2 linked regions of the Anolis sagrei genome follow. The protein of the gene in region 2 purifies or fractionates together with the protein of the main gene of each other region. This does not show direct contact. Links are inferred from orthologs where the notes say so. Each region holds a gene or a part of one and is shown on either strand. Other genes may lie near its edges.

Evidence for each region.
Region 1: the proteins of ENG (region 2) and ACVRL1 purify together in Homo sapiens (affinity purification with western blotting; 3 studies listed by BioGRID and IntAct, with this or other methods). This does not show direct contact. The link is inferred for Anolis sagrei from reciprocal best matches to the Homo sapiens genes ENG and ACVRL1.

What each region holds. Positions count from the first base shown.
Region 1 is NC_090022.1:139,383,096-139,398,814, forward strand, and holds the start of ACVRL1 (serine/threonine-protein kinase receptor R3), read right to left. Parts: upstream 6,622-15,719; 5' UTR 6,104-6,621; intron 1-6,103. UniProt on the Homo sapiens protein: Type I receptor for TGF-beta family ligands BMP9/GDF2 and BMP10 and important regulator of normal blood vessel development. On ligand binding, forms a receptor complex consisting of two type II and two type I transmembrane serine/threonine kinases.
Region 2 is NC_090031.1:2,304,131-2,320,048, forward strand, and holds the start of ENG (endoglin), read right to left. Parts: upstream 8,487-15,918; 5' UTR 8,185-8,486; coding exon 8,124-8,184; intron 1-8,123. UniProt on the Homo sapiens protein: Vascular endothelium glycoprotein that plays an important role in the regulation of angiogenesis. Required for normal structure and integrity of adult vasculature. Regulates the migration of vascular endothelial cells.

The sequences.
Region 1 (15,719 bases), on a different chromosome or scaffold from region 2:
ACTGCAATTTTCAGGGTGTCCTACATACACAATGCTGCCAGAAAAAACAGCGTGGGAAATGAGGGTTTAGGATTGTGGGCTGGCCATATGGGTAAAGCTATTACACAGTGGTTTCACTGTAGACATAATCTTGTACAGAGCTGCTCAAACCACATTTCGTACAGGCCAGTTTACTTGTATGAATGTTTACATCTGTTCATTAAGGTGGCTGGTTTATCAATTAGCCCACAGAACAGTTGTCTACTGAACCCAATGTTGTTCATTTAGATGGGTAGTATTCTTTTATTTATTTATGCCACCCTTTTCACCCCGAAGGGGATTCAGAGCGGTTTACAATATATATATAATTATGATATATTATATTATTAGCATTGTACAATATCAGTATTATATTACTATATTGTACTGTACCATCATATTGCAATATTACATGTAATATAAAATATATAATTATATTATCATATTACTATTATATTGTAGGTAAAGGTAAAGGTTTTCCTCTGACATGACGTCCAGTCGTGTCCGATTCTGGGGTGTGGTGCTCAACTCCATTTCTAAGCCGAAGATCTGGCGTTGTCTGTAGACACCTCCAGGTCATGTGGCCGGCATGACTGCATGGAGCGATGTTACCTTCCCACTGAAGCAGTACCTATTGATCTACTCAAATATGCATGTTTTCAAACTGTTAGGTTGGCAGAAGCTGGGGCTGACAGAGGAAGATCACGCTGCTCCCTGGATTCGAACCTACGACCTTTTGGTCAACAAGCTCAGCAGCTCAGCGCTTTAACCCACTGCGCCACTGGGGGCTCCCTATTATATTGTATTACATTATTATTATTATTATTATTATTATTATTATTATTATTGTAATGTATTATAGTATATTATATTATAATATTATAAATATATGTATATACAATATATTACATTACATTATATTATTAGCATAGCACAGGAGACAAGGTGGAACGGTCCCCTGGCCCCCTCTCTCTTCACTCTGGCCCAGTCAGGATCTAGGGTCCTAACAGGAACAAGAGTTCTCTCTATTTGCATTGTGTGCTAACAAGAGGTGCCAGGGACCTAATCTGGGACCTTCTGGATGCAAAGAATGTTCTTTGCCATTGAGCTAGAGTCTTCCTTCTACCTTGTGATTTTGTTTTGGCTTATCTTGGTTTCAATGTCTACTCCTCCTTGCCACTCATTCTGCATCGGGGTGGACAGCCTGTGGCTTTCCAAATGCTGTTGAACTCCAGTGTTCATTGGCAGAATGATATGGCCAAGGATGATGGAAATTTTGCAGTCCAACAACAGGGGAAGTGCCACCTTTTCCCCAGCCGTGTTCTACATTCCACTGATTCCTTTGATGCTCTTATCCTCCCTAGCACTTAAAGAGCATGAGGCGAGTCCTTGGCTCAGATCTCATCAGGAACAAAGGCAAGTTACTCTCTCATCTAGCAGCCTTCCCCAACTCATTCTTAAATTGGCTCCGTTATAGGTCTAACTCATTGCAAAGATTGCCTTTCAGAAACACCCCTGAGACCTTAAACAAGTCCTCTGTAAGTGCCAAGTATAATTCTGTGGCTAAAAGTCTCCAAACCTCAAAGGGAGAGGCTGGTTCTGCTTTTTAATGCCAAAATAATACTCATAACTTGGTTCCTTTTTATTTTAATTTTCCAATGTATGTAACTTCAAGAACAGTTTTCAGTCTTGTTTCAAGTTATGTCACTAGAGAATTTCCCACAGTGGCAATCTTTCATTCTGTGACCAGTGTGATATTTAAATCTGGTAGCAGCAACATGCCTAATTGGGTGCTGAGTGCGCAGCTGAAGAGGGCTTCGAGATCTCACGCCTTTGTGATTTCAACAGGCTTTGGTCCCTTCCACACAGCTGTATAAAATCCACACTGAACTGGATTATGTGGCAGTGTGGACTCATATAAACCAGTTCAAATCAGATATTGTGGATTATCTGTCTTGATATTTTGGGTTATATGACTGTGAGGAAGGGCCCTTTGTCAACATCTCACAAAAATGAGTGAATACCTCACTTCACATTTTACGCTCCCTAGTTGAGGAAAGGTTGCATTGTAGAACAGTTAAGCAATCTGGATCATGTAAAAAAGACAATGAAATCACTAGAGCCTGGCATAGCACTCTAGAACAAGCATGGGCAAACTTCAACTCTCCAGGTGTTTTGGACTTCAACTTACAGAAATACCAGCAAGCTTACTGGCTGTTAGGAATTGTAGGGGCTGAGGTCCAAAACACCTGGAGGGCTAAAGTTTGCCCATGCCTGCTCTAGAAGCAACAGTATTTCAGGAAATGTAATTTGTTGCAAGCAATGATGCTACCTGTGACACATCATTTTTGTGACAATGGGGGCTAAGTAGGGTCAGCCCTGGTTAGTACTTGTGTGGGAGGCCACCAGTGCCAGGTTTAGGACAAATGAAGCCCTGTGCTAGTGAAGCTGAGTCCACACTGCCATATAATCCAATTCAATGTGGATTTTATACAGCTATGTAGAAAGGGCTTAATGGGGAATGTATACACAGCTGTACACATGCCATATTATCTGCTTTGAACTAGATGATATGGCAGTGTAGACTAAGATAACCCAGTTCAAATCAGATAATGTGGATTTTCTGCTGTGATTTCCTGGATTATCTGGCAATTTAGAAGGTGTGTAAGTGAGACCTGAGGAAGAGTTAATGTTTTCATGTGTGTCTTTTCCCCAGATCCCTAGGTTGGTCTGCAGCCGCTCACCCCTTTCTTATTTATGCCCAGCTGTTTACTTAATATCCTAAGGCTCTAGACCCTGTTTGATTTTGGAAACCAAGCAGAATCAAACCTGGTGAGTAGTTGGTGGGGAGACAACCAGGCGCTGTAGACTATATTTCACTGGTAGGACCTGACAAACTATGCACTTCTGCATATGCCTTGCTTAAGAAAAGCCTATGAAATGCATGGGGTTGCCATAAGTCAATAGATACTTTGAAGGCACCTACCTGCACACAAACAAAATATCATTTTATTAATTTTAAACAACCAATTACTTTGATCTCAATATATTATAATAGTTTTAAAATCAATGGCCAACACCAGTGCAAAAAACATTTTAAATAAAATTATTAAGCAGTGAAATTTATCTCCCTTTCTCCTAAAGGCTGGATGATTGAGGTTGATTTCTGGTGCAATCCTGCATTTCTCCTGCCTTATAACACCAATTTTGCATTTTTAGGTGAGTAGTACACCCATTTTTAAAATTTCACATGCCATTTGTCTTGCTTTTCCACTCTTGAAATATTATTTATTTTGCCATGTTATACTATTTTTTTTACAGGTTATGTTGTGTAGATCTTCAATTTAAGGAATAGCCTGTACTGGGTTGTTTAAACCATAAAATATAACATAAGATATAAAAATACATTAATATTTTAAGTAGTTACAAGGCAACAGAAACAGATGGAATCTCAAAGCCTTTTCAAAGATTTCAAGGGGAAAAACCACACACATTTCATTCGAGACCTCTGCAATCAGGGGACCACGACTGAAAAGGATCTGCTCCTCCCATCTATTATTCTGAATGATCTTACTTGGGCTTGCATGAAAAGACTCCAAACCTGATTTTATCTCAGGTTTGCCATTGTCTTCCTCTGAAGTTGAGAGTGTGTGACTTGCCCAAGGCCATCCAATGGATTTCCAGTTGTCAAGTCTGGACTCAAAGCCTGATCTCCAGAGTCATAGTCCAATGCTCAAACCACTATACTACATTGACTCCCCAAAATAATATACATTGGCATAAATCCAGGTTGATCATGGTAGTCCATGCCTTAGTTATATACTGCCTGGACTACTGCAATGCTCTCTATGTGGGGCTGTCTTTGAAGATAGTTCAGAAGCTTCAACTAGTCCAGAGATCAGCATCCAGGTTACTAACTGGGGCTCTGTACAGGGAGAGAATCAGTCCCATGTTATGGCATCTCCATTGGCTGCTGGTCTGCTTCTGAGATAAATACAAAGAGCTGGTTGTTACCTATAATGCCCTAAACAGTTTGGCTCCAGGCTATTTGTCTAACTGCATCTCCCAAATATAGACCCTTCATACACTTCGGTCAGTGGAGGAGGCCCTGCTCTCGGTCCCATCCCGTCATAAGCGCTGTTGGTGGAAACAAGAGAGGGGGCCTTTTCTGTGATCGCTCCCCATCCCTGGAACTCCCTCCCTAAAGAAATAAAAATGGCCTCCACCTTCCTCTCTACAGAGAGGAGAAGGACTATCACAACCAGCACTTTATGGCTGCTACAGTCTACTTTAAAGTACAACTGATGCTTGCCACATTTTTCAGTTTGGTCGTTTTAACTGTTTAGGGTATATGCTTAGTGCAATTATGTTTTATTGATATAATTATGTTTCCCTCAGTATTTGTATCTCTTGTTTTAATCTGAATTCTCTTGTTGCAATAAGTCTGATAATGTTTATTTTTCATCTTTTGATATTGTGTGATTTAATTATGGCATTTAATGTTTGCCTTTATATATATATATGTAAACCTCCCTGAGTCCCTCTGGGGAGAGAGGGCGATTTAGAAATAATAATAATAATAATAATAATAATAATAATAATAATAATAATAATAATGTTATAGCAGTGTATGTCACCAAGAAGATTCTGGCCTTTATCTCTTGATAAGTGCTCCCTTAAAATCTAGCAGAAGCCTGCTAGCTCTTGCACAGACCTGCTGGATATTGAGGGGCAGGACTTTTCTTTAGGTCAGAGGAGGGAAACTTAGGCAGACTGAAGGTCATTTTTCTGCTCTTGAGTGTGTCTGTGGGCCATACATGCAAAGAATAAAACCCAAACCAGGTGTAGTGAGAAGTCTATCACTTATTTTGAAAAACTAGTATTTTAAAAATGTATATTTTAAAATGCAATGTTACCAAAATCTATGAAGGCGTTAGAAGACACACATCAACACCCCTTTTAATTTTGTGAGAAAAACTGCTGTCTGAAGCCAAGGGTCACAGAAAGAGCCTTGCAGGGCCACATGCTAACTTAGGGCCCTTCCACACAGCCATATAACCCAGAGAAATAAGGCTGCATTATTTTTCTCAACCATCGAAGGGGGACTCAGGACGGCTTACAATCATAAAATCCCACAATATATTCTTTGAACTGGGTTTTCTGAGTCCATACTGCCATATATTGATTTTATGCTAGTTATATGTTGTTGATTGAGTTTTGGTTTATATATATAAGGCATTGAATTTTGCGTTATTTTTGTGTAAACCGCTTTGATTCCCCCCGGGGGTGAGAAAAGCGGTATATAAATACTGTAAATAAATAATATTCCAGTTCAAAGCAGATAATGTGGGATTTTTGTCAGCCATGTGGAAGGGGCCCTAGTGGGCCATGTCCACAACAGATTTGTGAAAGAAGACATTATATGTAACATTGTGTATTGTGTAATGCAAATCCCTGATGATATCATGGAATAGTTCTTGCAGTGCTGAAAATGCATAGCATAAAAACAAAATTAATAACTGCATTATTCTTTGCTACAATAGAATCTTGCTTATTCAACATAAATGGGCCGGCAGAATTTTGGTTAAGTGAAAACGTTAGATAATAAGGAGGGATTAAAGAAAAGCCTATTACACACCAAATTATGTTATGATTTTACAAATTAAACACCAAAACATCATGTTTTACAACAGTTCGACAGAAAAAGCAGTTCTATATATGGTAATGTTACGTAGTAATTACTGTATTTACGAATTTAGCAGCAAAACATCGCAATGTCTGTGGATCCGGGAGGGAGGCAGGCTGTGTTGGATAATGTAGAACTTTGGATGAGCAAAGGTTGGATAATCAAGACTCTAATGTACTTCCTTTCTCTTTCATCATTGCTATTGTAATTATTTTGCCCAGGAGTAATGGACATACAGGATTTAAATAGTTTCTCCATGCTATAAAAAGCCTGAGGCCTAAAATTTTGATATTAAAAATGTCACATTTATCCCCCGCTTTTGCCCGAGAGATGTTCTCTTGAATGTCTTCAAATAAATATGGAACGAATCAAGAGAGACACACATTAATTCTAACTTACCCGGGAGTCTTTGTAGACAGAACGGAGCAAACTTGGGCTTTAAACCGTATCCTGCCGTCTATCTCCTTTCAGCAGGCCTTGGCTGAGAATTCCTCAGATGAAAGCATTTTCTTTGGTACCAGAGTCCGAGATGGGTTTTTATTTTCTGGGAAAGTTGTTGACTGAAGTCACACTGGGCATCTCTTCATGGGTCTTAGATGCATGGCCTGAGATGGATTCATGGGTTTCCTTTCCAACGGTTCCAGTCCTCCTGGATTTTCACTTCAGTAAGAACAGTGCCCCCAGATTGGGGCTGAAGCTGAGCTCCAGTGAAGTCCGTTTCAAGGAAGCCACAGAGTTGAAGGCAGCTGGGAGTGTGTAAGGCTGGGTTGTGGGGGGAGACAGGATCCTCTTTCCAGCCCCCCTGCTCTTTCCCTCTTGCTGAAAGCAGCGGTTTGGCAAGCTCTGGATGTGGGAGAAGTTAAAAATGTTTCTTATTACTGCCTCTTCCTGCCTGGCTTTTCTCCACCACTCCCAGCTAATAAAGCATTTCCTATTGCGGAGCGTAGATCTATATGCGCACACACAACACACTCTTCCTCCCAAGCACAGCAGGGCCCTGTGCAATTGTTCTCTATGGTCTCCCTATTGCCTCACCTTTCTGGGTTTCCTTCCTCCCATCCTTCCCTGCTGCCGCCTTCATTTTCAAATCTGAATGGACTAATCCAAAGCTATGTGTTAGTTAACCAAACTAATCACTACTTTATCTGTCCAAAACAGTAAAACGTTATCCTGTCTGATAACTAGAAGAACAGTGACCTGTCAAAACCCTGCTAGGTTTTCTGCTTCCCTTTGAGAAAATATTTTTGGGTGGTCCTCAAAGTAACTTTTCTAAGGTTTACCTTTAGGTAAGCTGCTATCAGTGGGCTTCTTGACCCAGTAAAGTTTGTGAAGCTTGCAAAGTAACAGTTATTTTGTGCTGTCTTGCAACATTTTGAGCTCAGCCCTTGTTTGGTTCCTGTGCTTAAGTGAGACTGGCCGTTCTGTTGAAGACCAGAATACACTTAAGCTGTCAGCAGCAGCAGCATCTTCTCCAATGTTGAACACAGATGGTGAGTACCAACAGGACTGGGACCAAAACAGAGCTGCTGAAAAACATGGTGGGAGGTACCAGTGGGATTACAGATATTCAAAGCTGGAGATGTGCACAAAATATTTTAAAATATGAAGGCAAATAAGTAAAGACAAAACAAGTTCTTGAGGAAATGCCAAGTAGACCGGGAATGTTTCAGTGTACTGACATTGCATAAGTACAGTTGTGTTGTTGTGTGTCAGCAAGCTGTTTCTAATTTATAGTGACCCTAAGGCCATACGTCACTGGGTTTTCCAGGGCTGAGAGTGTATGATTTGCCCAAGGTCACACAGAAGGTTTCATGGCTGGGCAGGAATTGGATTCTGTTTTCCAGAGTTATAATCCAATGCTAAAATCACCACACCACGCACATACAAAAAAGTAGAGGCAAAGGTGAAGTAATGAGAAGATAGGAAAGCTTAGAGAAGACAACGATGCTGGGGATAATGAAAGGAAAAAGGAAGAGGGGGCGACCAAGGGCAAGATGGACGGATGGCATCCTTGGAGTGACTGGCTTGACTTTGAAGGAGCTGGGGGTGGCCATGTCCGACAGGAAGTTCTAGCATGGGCTGGTCCATGAGGTCACAAAGAGTTGGAAACGACTGAACAAATAAGCAACATCAAGCCAGTGAGCTCTGGAGTCAGGTAGGACCCATTAGAGATGAGTTCCTAAGCTGTAACACCACGTTACACAGAAATATAAACATTATCTTCTACCAGTGCTGCTGACCCTGAAATCTATCTTCTCCTAGAGATTGGGAGAAACGTAGAAATTTCTGGAGACTATGGGTCTAAAACTGAATGTGGGTTAAAACCTATCTCAAGGACTCCCTACAGCATGATACAATTAAGGTCATTTTGCACCTGCCCACACCAATGAAAGAGAGGCAAGGCATAATGTAAAAAGATAATAGAATAAATTCTATCTAGCTTTTAAAAAGTAACACATTAGTCATATTTTTAAAAGTCAATATATTACTCATTACTGGAAGAATTGTGCATTAGCAGCCTGTCATTAACATATTGCATCACCACCACCAACATCATCATTTCATAACAACACACTTAAAAATAGAAAAATGTCCTAATTCTTCAATATAATTCCTCCAAACAAGTACAAGTTGAGCATACCTTATCTTGAATTCTGAAATCTAAAATTGTCCATGTGCCTGTCTGAGATAAGGATGCTTTGGCTTTGTGATGCTTCAGTGTGCCCAAACTTGGTGTCATCCACAAAATTATTCAAAATATTATATGAAGTTACCTCCAGGCTATATGTATAAGGTGCCTCTGAAACATAAATTAGTTTCATCTTTAGATTTTTGTCCCATCTCATTATGTACATATATGCATATACAGGCATTTCAAAATCTCAAACTCAAAATATCTCTGATATAATAATAATAATAATAGTAATAGTAATAATAATAATAATAATCAACTTTGTTTATACCCCGCCACCATCTCCCCAATGGGGATTCGGAGCAGCTTACATGGGGCCAAGCCCAGACAACATGTTACAGCAAAATAAAACCAAAAACAACAAGCAAAATCATCAAAATTACATTAAAAAAACACATATGCATACAGTAACAAAATAACATTACAATAAACACAATTGCAGTAACAGTGGGCAGGCCACATGTACAGGATAAAATGTTAAAAAAAACTCTAATGAGATAAAAATAGGAGTAAGGTTGCAATGGTACCTCACAAAAAAAAACAAACACATTATGCCCATGTCACCCCTATAAGTAATGCATTCACAACAATATTCTGTAACCTGTTAAGCACTACCCTAAAGCTGTGATTCAGTAGGTAGGAATTCCTAATTCACACCTCCTGGCTGGACCTTCCTGTTCCCCTATGCGTTTTCCATATACTGACACTTCATAATGCCCCTTTTAGTGTGAGAGTCCCACTAGTGGGGTTCCTATGCTTTTGACAACCATGTGATAGAAATGCAAGATATAATATAATCCCTTGCAACTTTCTCTTCATTCAAGGGGAGAAAAAGAAAAGAAAAACCTAGGTTACATTTGATGTGTTCTTCTTTTTTCAGCATAGAGAGGGGGCATATTTTTGCTTATTACATGCAAGTCCTCTTTCTTCAGCATCATTAATATCAAAATCCAGGGAGAACTGGTGGCTTCCATATCAGTGGTGGTGGTAAATCTGTCCTGGGGCTGAGTCTGAACTTTAAAACAGCAATCCAAGATGCCTAAGGGTATGAACTAGGGTTTACTTTGGATAGGTCCTTCAAAATCTGGATTAAAATGTGAAGCAAATTCACTGCCCCATTGACATGGGACCCATTGGCCTTCACTAGAAACCTCTGCCAATATGCAGTGTCTCAAAATGTGTTCCTTCCTCAAACTAATTTTTATCATATCCATTCTGAACAAGACAGATACCCTAATAACAGTTTGCAAAAACTATTTTGAGAACTAACATAGGGTACTTCTACATAGGCAATTAATCAGGAGCAGAATGAGAATGATAGAAATCCAGTTCACTCCAGAGTGCCGACATAGGCACCACAGGAACTGGCTGGTATATGCAAGTGAGTCCACACAAATCCACAGGATTTCTTCATCACATTCTGCTCCAGATTGATTGGCTCAATTGAAATCCAGGAATATGTTTTTTACCTCCCCTAAGAGACAAACAACTTCTCAGAAGCACTTGCCTCACAACTCAGCAAGGCAGGGCAGTAAAATCAGGCATTCCTATGGGAACGCTGGGCTTTCCTTAGCGGGGTGGGTGGGAGAGAGATTTATTTTCCAGCTGGGCTTTACAGCTGCTTTTTTATTGTGAATGCTTTCTTACTCCTGTTTACATGAGAATCCCTGCATTTGCCGTCTGGCTTCTTCTTTTGCATTGTTTATACACAGAAGGAATTCAGCAGATTTTCTAGCTTGATCCAGGATTTCTGGTGAGTTTTTTTAAAAAAGATAACACTGCTCTGGAGATTGTTTTCTGAGCACACTAAACTTGAGCTGACTTCAAGCAGAATTTTAGTGTTGGTGTAGATGGGCCTCTGTTATGATTTTTGTAGATGAGTTACATCTGTTGAAGCAGACCATTGCACACCAAACCTGTGCTATAAAAATAGTATTTAAGTGCTTCAAGGTAACATCCAAATCTTGCATTGTATAAGCTAGTTATTTGGATTCCAGTGCTATATGTCTTTAGGACATATAGGACTGGAACCCAAATAACTAGCTTATACAATGCAAGATTTGGATGTTATCTTGAAGCACTTAAATACTATAGGACATATAGGACTGGAACCCAAATAACTAGCTTATACAATATGTCCTATAGACATATAGGCAATGAAAGTAGCAATGAAAGTAGCAAATGTGCAGGTACAACTGCACCAAGAGCTCCAATTTTGTTTGCTTCGCATTTAATGTTTGTTATAGTCCCAAGTTTCAGGAACTCTGCAGATAGGTGGCTTCTTTTGGCTGCAATCATAGGGCAAGCCACCTGTCAATTATAGTTAGGTTCCCTGGTTCCGCCCCCTTTTTGGGTTTTAGAGGGAATAGGAGCCATTTTGAGTTCAGTCTACACAGAGAAGCCTTTCATGCAGGACACAATACCAAGAGCTCCTGTAGAAAGCTTCGTCTTCTACGGCTTGGCCGGGGAGATATACAGCTCACAGCTTGGCCAGGGTTATACAGCCCTACAGCTCCTTTGCTGAAGGACTTCAGCCAGCCATCACAGAAACCTGAACTCCTTTCCCCCTGGAAGTCTACAAAGCTCTGCTTGGTAAGGGTCACTTGTGGAAGCCAGAAGCAGTTGGTACCGGGTGTAGGGGCTCCACACCAACAGAGGCGAAGACAGACTGCCTAGATTAGAGGTTAAGGATTTCCCCATTAGTTGAAATACAGTTTATGAAGATAGTGCCTGTTCCCTGTGGACAAGATCGAGAGAGCCAATAGACTATTAAGAAAGCCTTAAAGTACCTGTTTGTTTTCAATAATAAAGAACTTTGTTGAACCTTTAAGCAACCTAAAGACTCTGTTTAAGGAAATCCAAAGGCCTTTAATCTGAGGCAGCCCCGGCGTCCCGTTGGGCACACAGAATTTATGCCCTGTCTACAGTCTTATGTACAGGCCCAGCGTGCGACAGCACAGCAAATCTTAAGGTATGATCGATGGTAGACATTCAGTGCCTCTGCAACCTGGATTCAGGCTGTTTGAAGGACTATATATCCCCATATGAGCCCATTGGAGCTCTAAAATCTTTAGGAGAGGCCCTTCTTTCTATTATACTACCTTCTCAGGTTCATTTAGCGGGGACAAGAGAAACAGTTTTCTTAGTGGCTGCTCTCAGACTTTGCAACCCCTTTCCTAGGAAGGCCAGGAGAGCTCCATTCTTGCTCCACTTCTGTAAGGAAGTTGAAACATTTTTATGTGATTATGTTTTTAGAAACTGACTTGTTGAGCTTTTAACATTGTGCAATGCTGGTGTTAAGGTTGACATATAGTCTTTTAATGAATGTTAATGTTTAATACATTGCTTAATTGTCTTCTAAATTAAATGTATATATATACTTTTATTGACATTTTTGTATAGTTTTTAATCCATTATGCAAGGTGAGATGTAAATTGTTACAATGACAACACTAATGATGTGCAGGGTGCTGGGAAGAGAAAACATTGATTATTACGCCTACTATAAATAGGTCTGATTCTGAACAGGTATTTTTATATTCAATTATCAAAGTATAAGCTGCTTTCAGACGTCAGCTCCAGCTCTACAAAGCCGGAAACTGGAAGCTATGACTAAAGCCTTCTCATACATACTCTATTATTTCTAAGAATGTTGAACAGCTTCACAAACTATGTGAGCTTGCAACTAAACCTTCTAGGCACTCATGTTTTCCTTTGCTCATTCAGTGTCAAATACAGAGGCGAAGGTTGGAGTGCCAGGATCACCCTGTTGCTGAAATCCAGGCTCCCTTGAAGGGGAAAAAAGGAAATGGTCCCAGGAATGAAAAGCAGAGCCTTGTAAGTTCCCCATTGCCACCAATGGGCCAGATCTAGCCGCATTTTTCAGCTGTGGTACCTGCCCATTTTTAGGAGGCTTGCAAAAATGCATACGGGTCTACTGGAATCCGGCCAGCAGAAAAAGATTGAGGTTCAGCCAAAATGCACAAGCCTAGTATCAACACAATATATCTCATGAATGTCATTTGTATTGAATTTAGACACTGCCTGACATTACATAAATACCATGTTTTGTACTATTTATTGATGATGGCAGGCCCGTAGCCAGGATTTCGTTTGGGGGTGTGTGTGAATTTTTTTCAGGGGGGTTTCGGGGGGGGCTGAGTTTTGGGGGGGTTATATTGAGTATGGTGATCAGATCATGATATGAATAAACATAACAGTTTAAATAATGCACCAGTAAGGCCTTTTCGCGAACCACCATGAGAATTTCGGGGGGGGGGGGGATGAAGCCCCTCAAGCCCCCCCCCCCCCCGGCTACATGCATGGATGATGGTAAAATGTCCCAGTTTCTCTCTCTCTCTCTCTCTCTCTCCCCCGCCCTGTATCCCTTTGTCCTCACTTTTAGTTTACTTCAGTTGCTGCAAGCTGAACTCAAAGTGCAAATGTCTGCACTCATTAAACTCAGTGTGGAACAGAGAAAAGGGTGTGCATGGGAAACCTTGCCTCTGCTAGATGATGTTTTCTCCCTCATTAATAAGCCTTGTCATCTCAAATGTTGCTTGGCCATACAGTATCCTCATTTTCCTCTGAATTGTTGGATGATATCAGCGTTAAGGTAAAGGTAAAGGTTGTCCCCTGACATTAAGTCCAGTCATGTCCGATTCTGGGGGTTGGTGCTCATCTTAATTTCTAAGCCAAAGAGCTGGCATTGTCCATAGACACCTCCAAGGTCATGTGGCCGGCATGACTTCATGGAGCGCTGTTACCTTCCCACCGAAGCAGTACCTATTGATCTACTCACATTTGTGTTTTCAAATTGCTAGGTTGGCAGAAACTGGGGCTGACAGCGGAAGTTCACGCCCCTCCTCTGATTTGAACCTGTGACCTTTTGGTCAACAAGCTCAGCAGCTCAGTGGTTTAACCCCAGTGGGGGATTATATCCATCCAGGAAAGCAGACTTTGTGATGGTTATGTTATGGAGAAAGTAAACTTACAAGCATTCTGATATTTCCAGAGGCCGAACCACAAAACATAGCTCTACTAAGACCAAAATTAAAGGTCTCTATGTTTTCCCACATGCTAATTCATTGTGAGAAAATGGCCAGTGGTTGTTTCCTTGAGTGTTCAATGACACGGCAGGGAGAAGGAAGAAAATACCCTTCTGACATTTCCTGTTGTGAAAAATTATGGAGCCAGACTCTTTGCAAAGTCTTCTCAGATTAGGTTGCTGATCCATTTCCCCCATTTTCCAAATGCATGGGTTATTCGTATAATCCGAGTTCATCTGAATGCCACTTAAGATGTAAGGGTTGTTGCTTATCTTGAGCAATGGTGATTTCAGGCTCTTGGACGGGAAATACAAGAACTTTGTTGAGTCTGCATCCCTTGAATTGGAAATAAAGAAGTTTGATCTGATAACAGCAGATCTGCGCTGTGGAGGCAGGAAAAGGAAATCTCGTTGCAGGAAATGTGTCTTGACTTGGAATACCTTCCTCTAATCTCATGAGCCATCTTTCTTCCTCCTTGGAAATCTCAGCTGCCCACTCACCTCTTGTGGAGTCAACCAGCTCTGGTCTATTTTTGAATCCATCTTTCATCGTGGCTTTGTTTGACAGCAGAAATGTGTTTTTTCAGCATGAACTCGTGACATGCATAGTTTTTCCTCAGACTCAGATCATGTGGTCACCCAAGGCTTTTTCTTTATTAACTCAAGTACAATATGAACCTTGGCTCTCCAAAATCAGACAAACGGAGTTGACACTTTCTGTTGCTTCACTACTGGCAGGTTTCCCATACTTTACAACATTTTACAGGTCTGATCTACATTACCATATAGCACTATTCGAAATTGCATTATATGGTCAGTGTAGTAGACTTATACAATGCAGTCCAGTGTATTTAAACTACATTAAATAAGGACCATTCCACACAGCTGAATAAAATCCCACATTATTATTATTATTATATTATTATAACTTTATTTGTACCCCGCTAGCATCTACCCAAGGGATTCGATGCAGCTTACACAGGCCGAAGCCCCAAAACACAATACAACAATACAATACCCAAGCAAATTAAAAACAGTTAAGCAGAAAACAATAATGGTAAACCATACACAAGACACTATTAAAACTGGGCCGGCCGGAGTAGGGGTACTGGGTTAAAAGTGCTGGCGTGGCAGGAGGGATGTAGGATTAAATATAAGTGCGATGCGCAGTGTGCAGTGATCTTGGTTCTACTAAGGTGCTTCTAGGATTTGGTGCTGGAGGTTCCTATCTGCTTTGAACTGGAATATATGGCAATGTGAACTCAGATAACTCAGTTCAAAGCAGATATTGTGGGATTTTCTGCCTTGATATTTTGGGTTACATGGCCGTGTGGAAGGGCCCTAAGACTGAGTTTCAAATTGCCTTATATGGCAGTGTTGATGGGGACACTGTGAGGTTGGCCAAGATGGCCGAACGTATTGATGGAGTGGGTGTTGCAGCCCTAACAAGGCTGTGATGGTAAATCCAGTTTAAAGCAGAAAACCTGGGATCAGATCCTGAGATAAAGGGCTTGTCTGGAAGAGCCCTTAGATAACCCAGTTCATAGCAGATATTCCGGCATTTTCTGCTGACTCTCTGCTGTTTTACTCAGCATAGCCAATAAAGAGAGAGGATGAGAATTGTAGGCCAAAAATATACACCCCAGGAGGCATCTACACTATGGAATTTATGCAGTTTGGCACACTTTGATTGCCATGGCTCAGTGTTGTGGAATGCGGAGATTTGTCGTTTGGGGAAACACTAGCAGTCCATTAGGTAAAAGTTTCCCCTTGACATTAAGGCTAGTCATGTCCGACTCTGGGGGTGATGCTCATCTCTATTTCTAAGCCGAAGAGCTGTCCATAGACACCTCCAAGCTGTTGTGGCCAGCAGAAGCTGTACCTATTGATCTACTCACATTTGCATGTTTTCAAACTGTTAGGTTGGTAGAAGCTGGGGCTAACAAATCACCGACCTTCCAATCAGCAAGTTTTGCATCTTAGCAGTTTAATTCGCTGCACCACCACGGCCCAGCACTCCATTAGAGATGACTAAAGACCTCAAAAACTACAATGAGCAGAATTCCATAATATAGAGTCATGACAGTTAAAACGGTGTCAAACTGCATAAATTTGACACTGCAGATGCACCCTTAGTTAAAAATTATAAAATAATAATTCTAGTTAGTGTAATCATGGTAAAGCTCTTGAGGGTAATGCATGCTTTCTTATACATTCAGGCAGCAATCTTGAGGACACTCTTCTGTGTGAAATGTAAAAAAAAAATCCCGGAAGACC
Region 2 (15,918 bases):
CAAAAGGCACAATTCAATGCCAACAACAAACAATAAGATAAAACATGTATCAATAGCAATTATAAACAATTAAAACAAGCAAGTTATATATCACAATCAATAAGACCAATCTAATGTTCAACGTTCGCCAGCTCAGACAACAACAGGCTGGTTCAAGATTGGGAAAGGCGTACGGCAGGGTTGTATCCTCTCACCCAACCTTTTTAACTTGTATGCAGAACACATCATGCGAGGATGTGCGGGGCTGGATGTATGCAAAGCTGGGGTGAAAATGGCTGGAAGAAACATTAACAACCTCAGGTATGCAGATGACACCACTCTGATGGCCGAAAGCGAGGAGGAGCTGAGGAGCCTTCTAACCAAGGTGAAAGAAGAAAGCGCAAAAGCCGGGTTGCAGCTAAATGTCAAAAAACCAAGATTATGGCAACAAGAATGATTGACAACTGGGAAATAGAGGGAGAAAACGTGGAGGCCGTGACAGGGTTTGTATTTCTAAGTGCAAAGATGACTGCAGACGCAGAGTGCAGCCAGGAAATCAGGAGATGCTTCCTTCTTGGGAGGAGAGCAATGACCAATCTTGATAAAATAGTGAAGAGTAGAGATATCACACTGGCAATGAAGATCTGCATAGTCAAAGCCATGGTATTCCCTGTAGTCACCTACGGATGTGAGAGCTGGACCATAATAGGGAAGGCTGAGCGAAGGAAGAGAGATGCTTTTGAACTGTGGTGTTGGAGGAAAGTGCTGAGAGTGCCTTGGACTGCGAGAAGATCCAACCAGTCCATCCTCCAGGAAATAAAGCCCGACTGCTCACTGGAGGGAAGGAGAGTAGAGGCCAAGAGGAAGTCCTTTGGTCACATCATGAGAAGAAAGGAAAACAGAGAAGGGAATGATGCTGCGGAAAGTGGAAGGCAAAAGGAAGAGGGGCCGACCAAGGGCAAGATGGATGGATGGCATCATTGAAATGACTAGATTGACCTTGAAGGAGCTGGGGGTGGTGACGGCCGACAGGGAGCTCTGGCATGGATTGGTCCATGAGGGTACCAAGAGTCGGAAATGACTGAACGAATGAACAACAAATACAATGTAATGTAATGTAATGTAATATATTGCATATACATATATTTATAATATTATAATGTAATACAACATACTACTAATAATGAAATGATATTATAATTATATATTTTATATTACATGTAGTATTACTAATAATATTACAGATCTGTTCATATCCAGCATTTATTTTTAAAGTTTTAACTACTACGTCTGGCCCGGCCATAGGTTTTTAAATCATTGTGTGTTTTGTCTATGTGTGAGTTATATTTATTGTATTGTTTATTTTGCTTATTGCTTGTTGTTTTTATTGATGTGTTGTTGGGCTTGGCCCCATGTAAGCTGCTCCGAGTCCCTTGGGGAGATGGTGGTATCAAGTATTATTATTATTATTATTATTATTATTATTATTATTATATAAAGGTATAGTACAATATAGTAATATATAATACTAACATTGTACAATGCTAATAATATAATATATTGTATGTATATATATCTCGTAAGCCGCTCTGAATCCCCTTCGGGGTGAGAAGGGTGGCATAGAAATGTCGTAGATAAATAAATCAATAATTCTTTCATATTTTGGGGTTTTGTTTGCATTACAAATAAGATGCATGCACACGGCACATATCTTATTTGTAGTGCAAAGATCCAAAAACCACGAAAGAGCCATACGATGCCCTGTTTCCTTGAATGTAATGCTCACCTTCTGTGGCTAAAGGACCCTGCCAAAATAGGGTTTGAATTAGATTCGCATCATATAGTCGTTTCCCAAAAGGTTATGCTTTTCAAAGGACTATGATAATCCAAAAGGTTATGGCATATTTTCTCAAAAGTTCTGAATCTGCCTGGAGCGGGAAATGGCCAGAGGGGTCTTCCACAAAGAGTGTGCTTATGGGACACCGAGGAGGACACATTGAGGACGGGGACACGGGTCAAGGCGGGATGTGTCGGGCCCTTCATTCGCTCGAGGTCAGCGCTCAGGCCACTCGGGTGACGCCGTGTCCTCGGCCCACCCATTGTCCGGCGTTTCCTCCGGGCCTTATCTGGGCCGCGCAGCCTGCGTCACGGGGAAGAAAAGGCCGCCAAGCGAAGCCTCAGGACCGGCCGGCAGACAAGCGTTATCTGTTTATGTTGTTTCCGAGACTCTCCTCTGTGTCTCTTTCTTTCTCGAGATTAAATCAGACTGGCGGCGATGGCGACAAAACCACTTCGGAGACCATTGCCAAGGCGAAAGGCACCAGTCGCCTGCGTCTCGGGGAGATTATAAACTTGTAAAGGCCTATCGCTCTGTAAACGTCACAGAAATTGAGAAGAGACCCCAAAGGCCATGCAGTCCAACCCTTCTTTCTTTCTCCCAAGCAGGAATACACAATCAAAGCCCTCCTGACAGATGACCATATGCTTGGAAACCGCCAGAAAAGGAAGAAGACCCCATGGCAAACTTCATCCCACCAGGTGTTTTGGGCTACAACTCCCACCATTCCTAACAGCCGGTAGGCTGTTAGGAATGGTGGGAGTTGTAGTCCAAAATACCTGGAGGGATGAAGTTTGCCCATGCCTGCTCAGGAAAAACATTTTTAATAATCTAGAGCCGTGGACCTTATTTTAGGCCCCATGGCCCACTAGTGTGTTGTGGCCTACAGTTTGGGAACTACTGCCTTAGAGGGATCTTTGGCTTTTAAAATCTAATACTAAGTGAGTGACAAAAAATCCCATCAGCCCTTCATTGTTGCATATGTGTTTGCTATATTCCCTGTTAATTTTGGTTATGCACGAATATATATCTACATACACACACACACACTAGCCGCCCCCTGCCATGCATTGCTGTGGCCCAGTCTGTGTATATGTGTTTTGTGTGTATATATTTGTGTATATGTGTGTTTGTGTATATATATATGTGTTATTGCGCATGTGTTGTAATGTAATTTTTGGGGTTTTTTTGGCTTTTTAAGTCCCCTTTGCTGTGTTTTTCAGTGTTTTTATGAGTGATGGTCACTTGTCGGCCTGAAAGGTGTCTGGGGCCAAATTTGGTGTCCATTCATTCAGTGGTTTTTGAGTTATGTTAATTCCACAAACGAACATATACATATATTGTCGAAGGCTTTCATGGCCGGAATCACTGGGTTGTTGTAGGTTTTTTCGGGCAATATGGCCATGTTCTAGAGCAATGCTTCGCAACCTTGGGTCCCCAGATGTTTTTGGCCTTCAACTCCCAGAAATCCTAACAGCTGGTAAACTGGCTGTGATTTCTGGGAATTGAAGGCCAAAAACATCTGGGGATCCCAGGTTGAGAAGCACTGTTCTAGAGGCATTCTCTCCTGACGTTTCGCCTGCATCTATGAGGATGCTTGCCATAGATGCAGGCGAAACGTCAGGAAAGAATGCCTCTAGAACATGGCCATATAGCCCGAAAAAAACTACAACAACCCAGAACATACACACACAGGCTGTCCCCTGCCACACGTTGCTGTGGCCCAGTCTGTGTATATGTGTTTTGTGTGTTTATATGTCTGTGTATATATATATTTGTGTATATATGTATATATGTGTGTTTGGGTATATATATATGGCTTTGTGCATGCGTTGTAATGTATTTTTGGGGGTTTATTTGCTTTTTAAGTCCCTTCCGCTGTGCTTCCCAATGCTTTTATGAGTGATGGTCACTCGTTGGCCTGATTGTTGTCTTGTGTCCAAATTTGGTGTCAATTCGTCCAGTGGTTTTTGAGTTATGTTCATCCCACAAACGAACATTACCTTTTTATTTATATAGACTAGCCGTCCCCTGCCACACGTTGCTGTGGCCCAGTCTGTGTATATGTGTTTTGTGTGTTTATATGTGTGTGTATATATATTTGTGTATATATGTATATATGTGTGTTTGGGAATATATATATATATGGTTTTGTGCATGCGTTGTAATGTAATTTTTGGGGTTTATTTGCTTTTTAAGTCCATTCCGCTGTGTTTTCCAGTGTTTTTATGAGAGATGGTCACTCGTTGGCCTGATAGGTGTCTCGTGTCCAAATTTGGTGTCAATTCGTCCAGTGGTTTTTGAGTTATGTTAATCCCACAAATGAACATTACACACACACACATATGTATATATAACCATATTTATTTATTTACCATATTTATATACCACCTTTCTCAGCCCGAAGAGTACAAACAACCCATTGCACAAATAAAACAAAACAAGCAACAAGCAAAAAGGGCCAGGAAGGAAAAGAGAAAACCAGCAGATGCCTTTTTCGGGGCTCTTATTGAAGTTGCTAATGGCATGGTATGTTGCTTTATGTAATGTGGATGGAAAACAGGAGAGTAGTAAACCTGACCTATCCTTTCCTCCATACCTTGGAACAGTAACTTTGGAAAGGATTTTTTAACAGTAAACTCTTAAGTAAAAAAAGGTTGAGAAGAGTAACTTTTGCACATGTTTCACTTATTCCGTGCTAGATTATATGATAATCATGTAATCCATTTCAATGCAGTTAAACTGCATTATATGAACCTACACTCATTGTAAAAATACTATTATTATTATTATTATTATTATTATTATTATTATTATTATTATTATTATATTTACCTAATAAATCCCAGCCTCGAGATGCAAGGAGAGGTAGGTAATAAATATATTATTATTGGGATAGAGGCGGGGTTGAGAGCAGGGCCTCCCCAGAAGATCTTAAACTCCGAGGTGGGACGTAGAGGGAGATTCGTTCAGACAGAAACACTGGGCTGGAACCGTATAGGGTTTTGTAGGTCAAAACCAGCACTTTGAATTGTGCTCAGAATTGGATCGGCAGCCAGTGGAGCTGACACAACAGGGGGGTGGTATGCTCCCTGTATGACTCTCCGATGAGCAATCTGGCTGCCTCTCGCTAGACTAGTTGGAGTTTCCGAGCAGTCTTCAAAGGCAACCCCACGTAGAGTGCGTTGCAGTAATCCAACTGGGATGTAACAAGAGCGTGGACCACCGTGGCCAGATCCGACTTCCCAAGGAACGGGCGCAGCTGGCGCACAAGTTTTAATTGTGCAAAAGCTCTCCCGGCCACCGCCGAGACCTGGGGTTCCAGGCTCGGCGATGAGTTCAGGATCACTCCCAAGCTGCGAACCTGCGTCTTCAGGGGGAGTGGAACCCCGTCCACCACAGGCTGTAACCCTATGCCCTGTTCGGTCTTACGACTGACCAGTAGGACCTCTGTCTTGTCTGGATTCAATTTCAATTTGTTAGCTCTCATCCAGTCCGACACAGCAGCTAGACACCCATTCAAGGTCTGGGCAGCCTCCTTGGTGACAGGTGAGAAGGAGTGACAGATCTGGACATCATCTGCGTAGAGATAACATCTCATTCCGAAACTCCGAATTATCTCCCCCAGCAGCTTCATGTAGATGTTAAATAACATCGGGGACAGAATTGAACCCTGTGGGACTCCACACAACAACGGTTGTGGGGCCAAACAGGTGTCACCCAGTAACACATTATTATTATTATTACCCAATGCATCTCATCCCTGAGCTGCAAGGAGAGGCAGGTAATAAATGTATTACATTACTGTGTTGTCAAAGGCTTTCAGGGCTGGAATCACTTGGGAGGTGTTAGCTGGCCCAACAAAGGATCTCCCCAGACAGCAACAAGCCAGGCCTTGAAAGTACAAGGCCATTAAATGGTAATAAAGGTGGCAAATTGCAACATTCACATGTGCCTCAAGCAGACAAGAGTTCTTTCTTCCACCCTGGACTTTCCACGGATATATAAACCGAATTTTCCTAGTTTCCAACAGACCTCCCAAACTCTGAGGATGGCTAGCATAGATGTAGGCGAAACATCAGGAGATAATGCTTCTGGAACGTGGCCAGACAGCCCAGAAAACTCACAGCAACCTATTATATTATTGTTATTGTTATTATTATTATATTTACCCAATAAATCTCCCTTAGGGAGATAGAGTGGAATACAAGTATAGTGTTGTTTGTTGTTGTTGTTGTTATTCCATAATGCAGTTCAGGCTGGAACTACGCTGCTATATCATCTAGGATCTGATTCCAGATTATCTGATTTGAACTGGATTATGTGGTCTACCTGATTCGAGATCAGATCTTGGGATGTCAGGCAATGTAGATCCACCCCGAGTCTACACTGCCACGCAATGCAGTTCAATGTAGTTGAATCTGCATTATATGGCAATGTAGATGGGGCTTGAGCCCCCATCTGCACTGTAGAATTAAGGCAGCTTGGTGCCACTTGTTGTGGACAACAAAAAGCCTACGATAAAAGAACGGAAACCATGGGTAGGCACACAATTATTATTATTATTATTATTGATATTGTTATCACAAAATTAATAATGCAAAGTTATCTGGTCTACGTGGATGGGGCCTTAACAACCCCCCATTAAGGTAGTCCAGCATTTCCTCTTCGTGGGAGGGAAATATTTGGAATTCCTCCCGGCTCCAGATTCACAAGAGAATTTGGCCTCTTTCTGGGAAGAAGCTTCCAAGCAAAGTCAAGATAGGCTTTTCTCCTCCGGAATGACAAAGGAGGCTCCGGCCCCTTCTATGCTGCCATAGGATCCAGGCCAAAGCAGATCATCTGGAATTTATATGGCAATGTAGAAGCCTCCATACACACACACACACACACACACACACACACATATATATATATACATCCAAATTCACACATACAACAGATAGGTTAAGCAGCTATGATAAATAGATCAAAGTAGATCATCTGGATTTTATATGGCATTTTATATGGATTTTATATGGCCTCGAGTGCAATCTACACTGACCATATAATCCAGTATATGAATGCAGATTATCTGATTTGGACTGGATTATATGTGTCTGAACTGCCATATAATCCAGTTCAAATCAGAGAATTTGGGTTTTATATGGCAGCGTAGAAGGGTCCTCAAAGGCAAATGTAAAGGTTTCGCCCTGGCATTAAGTCCAGTCGTGTCCGACTCTGGAGGTTGGTGCTCCATGACTGCATACTGTTTTTATTGTTTATAATGAATGTTTTATTTGTTGTTTTAATTGTTATTATATTGCTTTGTTATATGTAGTGGCATCGAATTGCTGCCAAATGTAAGCCGTCCTGAGAAGGAAAAGGGTAGAAATACCCGAAATAAATAAATAAATAAATACCCGCCAGAGTATACCTATTGATCTACTCACATTTACATGTTTTCTAACTGCTAGGTTGGCAGGAGCTGGGGCTGACAGCGGAAGCTCACGACGCAACAAGTTCTTATACACACACACACACACACATATACATATATAATACACACACACATATACAAGCACACACATACAAACTTCTGAGGATGCCTCCAAGCAACAGCAGCCAGGCTACCTCTATACCAGGCATGGGCAAACTTGGACCCTCCAGGTTTGTTAGGAATTGTGGGAGTTAAAGTCCAAAAGACTTGAGAGCTTATGACTGCTCTATACAGACACCCTCCCTGATTGACTTTGAAAAACTTCATGGCTGCTCTATATAGATACCCTCCCTGGTTGACTTTGAAAAACTTCACGGCTGCTCTATACAGATACTCTCCCTGATTGACTTTGAAAAACTTAATGGCTTCTCTATACAGACACCCTCCCTGATTGACTTTGAAAAACTTCATGGCTGCTCTATACAGATACTCTCCCTGATTGACTTTGAAAAACTTCACGGCTGCTCTATACAGACACCCTCCCTGATTGACTTTGAAAAACTTCATGGCTACTCAATGCTAACCAAGCTTGCTAATTGCAACATTCACCCTTGCTTCATGCAGACAAGGGTCTTTCTCCCACCCTGGATATTATCCCACAAGTCATATACACCCCACTCGCTTCACGTCTAACAGACCCTCTGAGGATGCCATGAGCCACAGATGCAGGTGAAAACGCCAGGAGAGAATGCATCTGGAACATAGTGGCCACACAATCTGGAAACCTCTCAGCAACCCAGTGATTCTGGCCACGAAAGCCTTCCACAAGAGATGGGTCACTCCGGCTTCCATTCCCGCTAAGCTTGGTCTGCCCAAGGTGACACTTACTTGCCCAGGTGAGGATGGCCATGCTGGTGGCCAGCAGGAAGACCACTGGACCGGTCTCCATGCCGTCTGCGTGGCTTGCTTTAGCCCGTGTCCAGGGGCAGAAGTCCGAGGGCAACGCTCTCCGCCGGACAGTGGCCTTTCGGGGCTGGGCGCGGGGTGGACTGGAGGCTCACTGCGGCCCTTCTCCACTCCAGCCTTGGTCTGTTTTGGGGAGACCCGGAGAGCGGGCAACGAGGGGCAAGGCCAGGCGCAAAGAAGCTTCACACTTCTGCCGTGGCTGCCTGCGTCTGCTCTTGAGCGGCCTCTGCCCAGATGGGCTGGACTCCGTCCGGATGATGCATCGGAGGCAGGAAATCGACTCCCAACTTCAGAGGAAGGCCTGCCTGCCAAAACAGCAAGAGGAAATGCTGGGGAGTTTTTTCTATAAAGAGAGGAAACCTTCTTCGAAGGATGCAAACAACTCCGTCCCCATCCGCACTGCCAGGAAGCGCAGCACAGGCCGCCCTTGAGTTACGAACAAGGCAGTCGCTTCTGTCGGAAGTCGGAACAGGGGCATTCGCTCACAAGTGCCACTCCAGACAAATATGCATGTTGGATAGCAAAGGGAAGGGTCAACAGTTGGAGGAGGACACCACTCCACAACGGCTCTTTTGCTCCCTGGTTCTTAATGCCGATTCATTCTTCATTTCGTGCTGTGTGGATGCGCCTTCTGGGCTGATCCAGGCCATGCTTGCAAAACTCAGGTGTCAATCCAGCCATAGCTTATGAATGACCTTGAGATGCTCTTGAGTCTTTTTGGGGAAAAAGAGGAAGTGGGACATAGAATCCAAGAGTTGGAAGAGACCTCCTGGGCCATCATCCAGTCCAACCCCATTCTGCCAAGAAACAGAAAAATTGCTTTCAAAGCACCCCTGACAGATGGCCATCCAACCTCTGTTGAAAAGCCTCTAAAGAAGGAGCCTCCACCACACTCCGGGGCAGAGAGTTCCACGGCTCTCACAATCATGTTCACATGGAATCTCCTCTCTTGTAGTCTGAGACTAGTGTTCCACGTCCTAGTCTCCAGGGAAGCAGAAAACAAGCTTGCTCCCTCCTCCTCCCTGTGGCTTCCTCTCACATATTTATCCATGGCCCTCATCATGTCTCCTCTCAGCCTTCTCTTCTTCAGGCTAAACATGCCCAGCTCCTTAAGCCGCTCCTCATAGGGCTTGTTCTCCAGACCCTTGATCCTTTGAGTTGCCCTCCTCCGGACACATTCCAGCTTAGGGTCAATATCTCTCTTCAGTTGTGGTGCCCAGAATTGGGCACAATATTCCAGGTAAAGTGGTCTAACCAAAACGGAATAGAGCATGTGGAGCATTACTTTCCCTAGATCTAGACACTAGGCTCCTCTTGATGCAGGCCAACATCCCATTGGCCTTTTTTGCCGCCACGTCACATTCCTGGCTCATGTTCCCCTTCCTCCCCATGAGGACCCCAAGATCTTTTCCACATGTCCTCCTCTCGAGCCAGGCCTCATCGTCCCCCATTCTGTCTCTTGCATTTCGTTTTTCCTGCGAAAGTGGAGTATCTTGCATTTCCCCCTGTTGAACTTCATTGTGTTAGTCCTAGTCTCCAAGGAAGCAGTAAACAAGCTTGCTCCCTCCTCCTCCCTGTGGCTTCCTCTCACATATTTATCCATGGCCCTCATCATGTCTCCTCTCAGCCTTCTCTTCTTCAGGCTAAACATGCCCAGCTCCTTAAGCCGCTCCTCATAGGGCTTGTTCTCCAGACCCTTGATCCTTTGAGTTGCCCTCTTTCTCTTGACACATTCCAGCTTGTCAACATCTCCTTTCCTATGCATGGCTATCATCATATCTCCTCTCCGCCTTCTCTTCTTCAGGCTAAACATGCCCAGCTCCTTAAGCCGCTCCTCATAGGGCTTGTTCTCCAGACCCTTATTATAAATAAATTATTATTATTCAAAAATGACTTGGCAGTTTAGGAGAAATTAAAGTATAAACTTCTGAAGCAAGCACAAACTGTCCCAGTTGTTGTTTTGGGTGGACCATTCCTCCCCCCTCCCCCCCCCCCAATGGATGTGAGGCCTAGCCTAGGACCAAACCACCGCCCGGGAAGACATTCCCCATCATGGACAGAAGCGGAATGTGGGTCTCTTCTTACCTTATGGCTGAGAGAGTGTGCTATTCGAGGGCCTAGGCCGTGAGCCAGAGCAAGCCGGGCCCGCTGCCAAGGCCTCTCCAGCCCAGGTAGGCCCCAAGATGGCGGCCTGGCCTGAGGTGAAAAGACAGGCCTGAAGTGAAGTTTGCCCAGGGCCTCGCACCCCAAACCAGGCCCTTGGGAGATGTAGACTTCCAAGAGCGTGCCCCTCCTGAGGCCAAGAGAGGGGGGCCACCCCACGGCTTCCACTCGTTTGTGAGGCCGTGAGCCAGAGCAAGCCGGGCCCGCTGCCAAGGCCTCTCCAGCCCAGGTAGGCCCCAAGATGGCGGCCAGGCCTGAGGTGAAAAGACAGGCCTGAAGTGAAGTTTGCCCAGGGCCTCGCACCCCAAACCAGGCCCTTGGGAGATGTAGACTTCCAAGAGCGTGCCCCTCCTGAGGCCAAGAGAGGGGGGCGACCCCACGGCTTCCACTCGTTTGTGAGGCCGTGAGCCAGAGCAAGCCGGGCCCGCTGCCAAGGCCTCTCCAGCCCAGGTAGGCCCCAAGATGGCGGCCAGGCCTCAGGTGAAAAGACAGGCCTGAAGTGAAGTTTGCCCAGGGCCTCGCACCCCAAACCAGGCCCTTGGGAGATGTAGACTTCCAAGAGCGTGCCCCTCCTGAGGCCAAGAGAGGGGGGCCACCCCACGGCTTCCACTCGTTTGTGAGGCCGTGAGCCAGAGCAAGCCGGGCCCGCTGCCAAGGCCTCTCCAGCCCAGGTAGGCCCCAAGATGGCGGCCAGGCCTGAGGTGAAAAGACAGGCCTGAAGTGAAGTTTGCCCAGGGCCTCGCACCCCAAACCAGGCCCTTGGGAGATGTAGACTTCCAAGAGCGTGCCCCTCCTGAGGCCAAGAGAGGGGGGCCACCCCACGGCTTCCACTCGTTTGTGAGGCCGTGAGCCAGAGCAAGCCGGGCCCGCTGCCAAGGCCTCTCCAGCCCAGGTAGGCCCCAAGATGGCGGCCAGGCCTGAGGTGAAAAGACAGGCCTGAAGTGAAGTTTGCCCAGGGCCTCGCACCCCAAACCAGGCCCTTGGGAGATGTAGACTTCCAAGAGCGTGCCCCTCCTGAGGCCAAGAGAGGGGGGCGACCCCACGGCTTCCACTCGTTTGTGAGGCCGTGAGCCAGAGCAAGCCGGGCCCGCTGCCAAGGCCTCTCCAGCCCAGGTAGGCCCCAAGATGGCGGCCTGGCCTGAGGTGAAAAGACAGGCCTGAAGTGAAGTTTGCCCAGGGCCTCGCACCCCAAACCAGGCCCTTGGGAGATGTAGACTTCCAAGAGCGTGCCCCTCCTGAGGCCAAGAGAGGGGGGCCACCCCACGGCTTCCACTCGTTTGTGAGGCCGTGAGCCAGAGCAAGCCGGGCCCGCTGCCAAGGCCTCTCCAGCCCAGGTAGGCCCCAAGATGGCGGCCAGGCCTCAGGTGAAAAGACAGGCCTGAAGTGAAGTTTGTCCAGGGCCTCGCACCCCAAACCAGGCCCTTGGGAGATGTAGACTTCCAAGAGCGTGCCCCTCCTGAGGCCAAGAGAGGGGGGCGACCCCACGGCTTCCACTCGTTTGTGAGGCCGTGAGCCAGAGCAAGCCGGGCCCGCTGCCAAGGCCTCTCCAGCCCAGGTAGGCCCCAAGATGGCGGCCAGGCCTGAGGTGAAAAGACAGGCCTGAAGTGAAGTTTGCCCAGGGCCTCGCACCCCAAACCAGGCCCTTGGGAGATGTAGACTTCCAAGAGCGTGCCCCTCCTGAGGCCAAGAGAGGGGGGCGACCCCACGGCTTCCACTCGTTTGTGAGGCCGTGAGCCAGAGCAAGCCGGGCCCGCTGCCAAGGCCTCTCCAGCCCAGGTAGGCCCCAAGATGGCGGCCAGGCCTCAGGTGAAAAGACAGGCCTGAAGTGAAGTTTGCCCAGGGCCTCGCACCCCAAACCAGGCCCTTGGGAGATGTAGACTTCCAAGAGCGTGCCCCTCCTGAGGCCAAGAGAGGGGGGCCACCCCACGGCTTCCACTCGTTTGTGAGGCCGTGAGCCAGAGCAAGCCGGGCCCGCTGCCAAGGCCTCTCCAGCCCAGGTAGGCCCCAAGATGGCGGCCAGGCCTGAGGTGAAAAGACAGGCCTGAAGTGAAGTTTGCCCAGGGCCTCGCACCCCAAACCAGGCCCTTGGGAGATGTAGACTTCCAAGAGCGTGCCCCTCCTGAGGCCAAGAGAGGGGGGCGACCCCACGGCTTCCACTCGTTTGTGAGGCCGTGAGCCAGAGCAAGCCGGGCCCGCTGCCAAGGCCTCTCCAGCCCAGGTAGGCCCCAAGATGGCGGCCAGGCCTCAGGTGAAAAGACAGGCCTGAAGTGAAGTTTGCCCAGGGCCTCGCACCCCAAACCAGGCCCTTGGGAGATGTAGACTTCCAAGAGCGTGCCCCTCCAGAGGCCAAGAGAGGGGGGCGACCCCACGGCTTCCACTCGTTTGTGAGGCCGTGAGCCAGAGCAAGCCGGGCCCGCTGCCAAGGCCTCTCCAGCCCAGGTAGGCCCCAAGATGGCGGCCAGGCCTGAGGTGAAAAGACAGGCCTGAAGTGAAGTTTGCCCAGGGCCTCGCACCCCAAACCAGGCCCTTGGGAGATGTAGACTTCCAAGAGCGTGCCCCTCCTGAGGCCAAGAGAGGGGGGCGACCCCACGGCTTCCACTCATTTGTGAGGCCTGAGCCTGAGCAAGCCGGGCCCGCTGCCAAGGCCTCTCCAGCCCAGGTAGGCCCCAAGATGGCGGCCAGGCCTCAGGTGAAAAGACAGGCCTGAAGTGAAGTTTGCCCAGGGCCTCGCACCCCAAACCAGGCCCTTGGGAGATGTAGACTTCCAAGAGCGTGCCCCTCCTGAGGCCAAGAGAGGGGGGCCACCCCACGGCTTCCACTCGTTTGTGAGGCCGTGAGCCAGAGCAAGCCGGGCCCGCTGCCAAGGCCTCTCCAGCACAGGTAGGCCCCAAGATGGCGGCCAGGCCTGAGGTGAAAAGACAGGCCTGAAGTGAAGTTTGCCCAGGGCCTCGCACCCCAAACCAGGCCCTTGGGAGATGTAGACTTCCAAGAGCGTGCCCCTCCTGAGGCCAAGAGAGGGGGGCGACCCCACGGCTTCCACTCGTTTGTGAGGCCGTGAGCCAGAGCAAGCCGGGCCCGCTGCCAAGGCCTCTCCAGCCCAGGTAGGCCCCAAGATGGCGGCCAGGCCTCAGGTGAAAAGACAGGCCTGAAGTGAAGTTTGCCCAGGGCCTCGCACCCCAAACCAGGCCCTTGGGAGATGTAGACTTCCAAGAGCGTGCCCCTCCAGAGGCCAAGAGAGGGGGGCGACCCCACGGCTTCCACTCGTTTGTGAGGCCGTGAGCCAGAGCAAGCCGGGCCCGCTGCCAAGGCCTCTCCAGCCCAGGTAGGCCCCAAGATGGCGGCCAGGCCTGAGGTGAAAAGACAGGCCTGAAGTGAAGTTTGCCCAGGGCCTCGCACCCCAAACCAGGCCCTTGGGAGATGTAGACTTCCAAGAGCGTGCCCCTCCTGAGGCCAAGAGAGGGGGGCGACCCCACGGCTTCCACTCATTTGTGAGGCCTGAGCCTGAGCAAGCCGGGCCCGCTGCCAAGGCCTCTCCAGCCCAGGTAGGCCCCAAGATGGCGGCCAGGCCTCAGGTGAAAAGACAGGCCTGAAGTGAAGTTTGCCCAGGGCCTCGCACCCCAAACCAGGCCCTTGGGAGATGTAGACTTCCAAGAGCGTGCCCCTCCTGAGGCCAAGAGAGGGGGGCCACCCCACGGCTTCCACTCGTTTGTGAGGCCGTGAGCCAGAGCAAGCCGGGCCCGCTGCCAAGGCCTCTCCAGCACAGGTAGGCCCCAAGATGGCGGCCAGGCCTGAGGTGAAAAGACAGGCCTGAAGTGAAGTTTGCCCAGGGCCTCGCACCCCAAACCAGGCCCTTGGGAGATGTAGACTTCCAAGAGCGTGCCCCTCCTGAGGCCAAGAGAGGGGGGCGACCCCACGGCTTCCACTCATTTGTGAGGCCTGAGCCTGAGCAAGCCGGGCCCGCTGCCAAGGCCTCTCCAGCCCAGGTAGGCCCCAAGATGGCGGCCAGGCCTGAGGTGAAAAGACAGGCCTGAAGCTTGGCCTGGGAAGCCAGGCTCTCGCACCCTCTGGTTGTCCTCTGGGAAAGGATGGAAGCAGGGAAAGGCCTCCTTCCCCACGAGGAGCCTGCCTCCTGCCTCAAGATGGGGCCCAGCCAGAGGGTGGAGTAGCCTTCCAGAGCCGGCCACTCCATCCCTGTGTCCACCACAGGCGATACCATTATGTCAAGCCGCTTTGAGGCCCCTCCTTCGGGAGAGATCAAGCCAGGTATCCATACTGGACATACTCCAATATAAGCCCCCTTTTTTAGGCTGAGAAAAGGCCCCCCTCAACTTATACTCGAGTCCAGGTTATTTATTATTTTACTCTATTATTATTATTATTACATTTATTATTTTATTCAATTACTACGGTAATTATTACATTTCCATTATTTTACTCTTTTATTATTATTACATTTATTATTTTATTATGATGATTATTACATTTATTATTTTACTCTATTATTATTATTACATTTCCATTATTTTACTGTTATTATTACATTTATTACTTTACTCTGCTATTATTATTATTATATTTCCATTATTTTACTGTTATCATTACATTTATTATTTTACTCTATTATTATTACATTTCCATTATTTTACTGTTATTATTACATTTATTATTTTACTCTGTTATTGTTATTATTACATTTATTATTTTACTCTATTATTGTTATTATTACATTTACATTATTTGCTCTGTTATTATTACATTTATTATTTTACTCTATCATTATTATTACATCTACATTATTTACTGTTAATACATTTATTTTTTCACTATTATTATTACATTTTTATTTTACTCTATTATTGTTATTATTACATTTATTATTTTACTCTATTGTTATTATTATTACATTTATTATTTTATTCAATTACTATGGTAATTATTACATTTCCATTATTTTACTCTTTTATTATTATTACATTTATTATTTTATTATGATGATTATTACATTTATTATTTTACTCTATTATTATTATTACATTTATTATTTTACTGTTGTTATTATTACATTTCCATTATTTTACTCTGTTATTATTACATTTATTATTTTATTCTATTATTATTATTATTACATTTATTATTTTACTCTATCATTATTATTACATTTCCATTATTTTACTGTTATTATTACATTTATTATTTTACTCTGTTATTGTTATTATTACATTTATTATTTTACTCTATTATTGTTATTACATTTCCATTATTTTACTGTTATTATTACATTTATTACTTTACTCTGCTATTATTATTATTACATTTCCATTATTTTACTGTTATTATTACATTTATTATTTTACTCTATCATTATTATTACATTTCCATTATATTACTGTTATTATTACATTTATTATTTTACTCTGTTATTGTTATTATTACATTTATTATTTTACTCTATTATTGTTATTATTACATTATTTGCTCTGTTATTATTACATTTATTATTTTACTCTCGTATTATTACATTTACATTATTTGCTCTGTTATTATTACATTTATT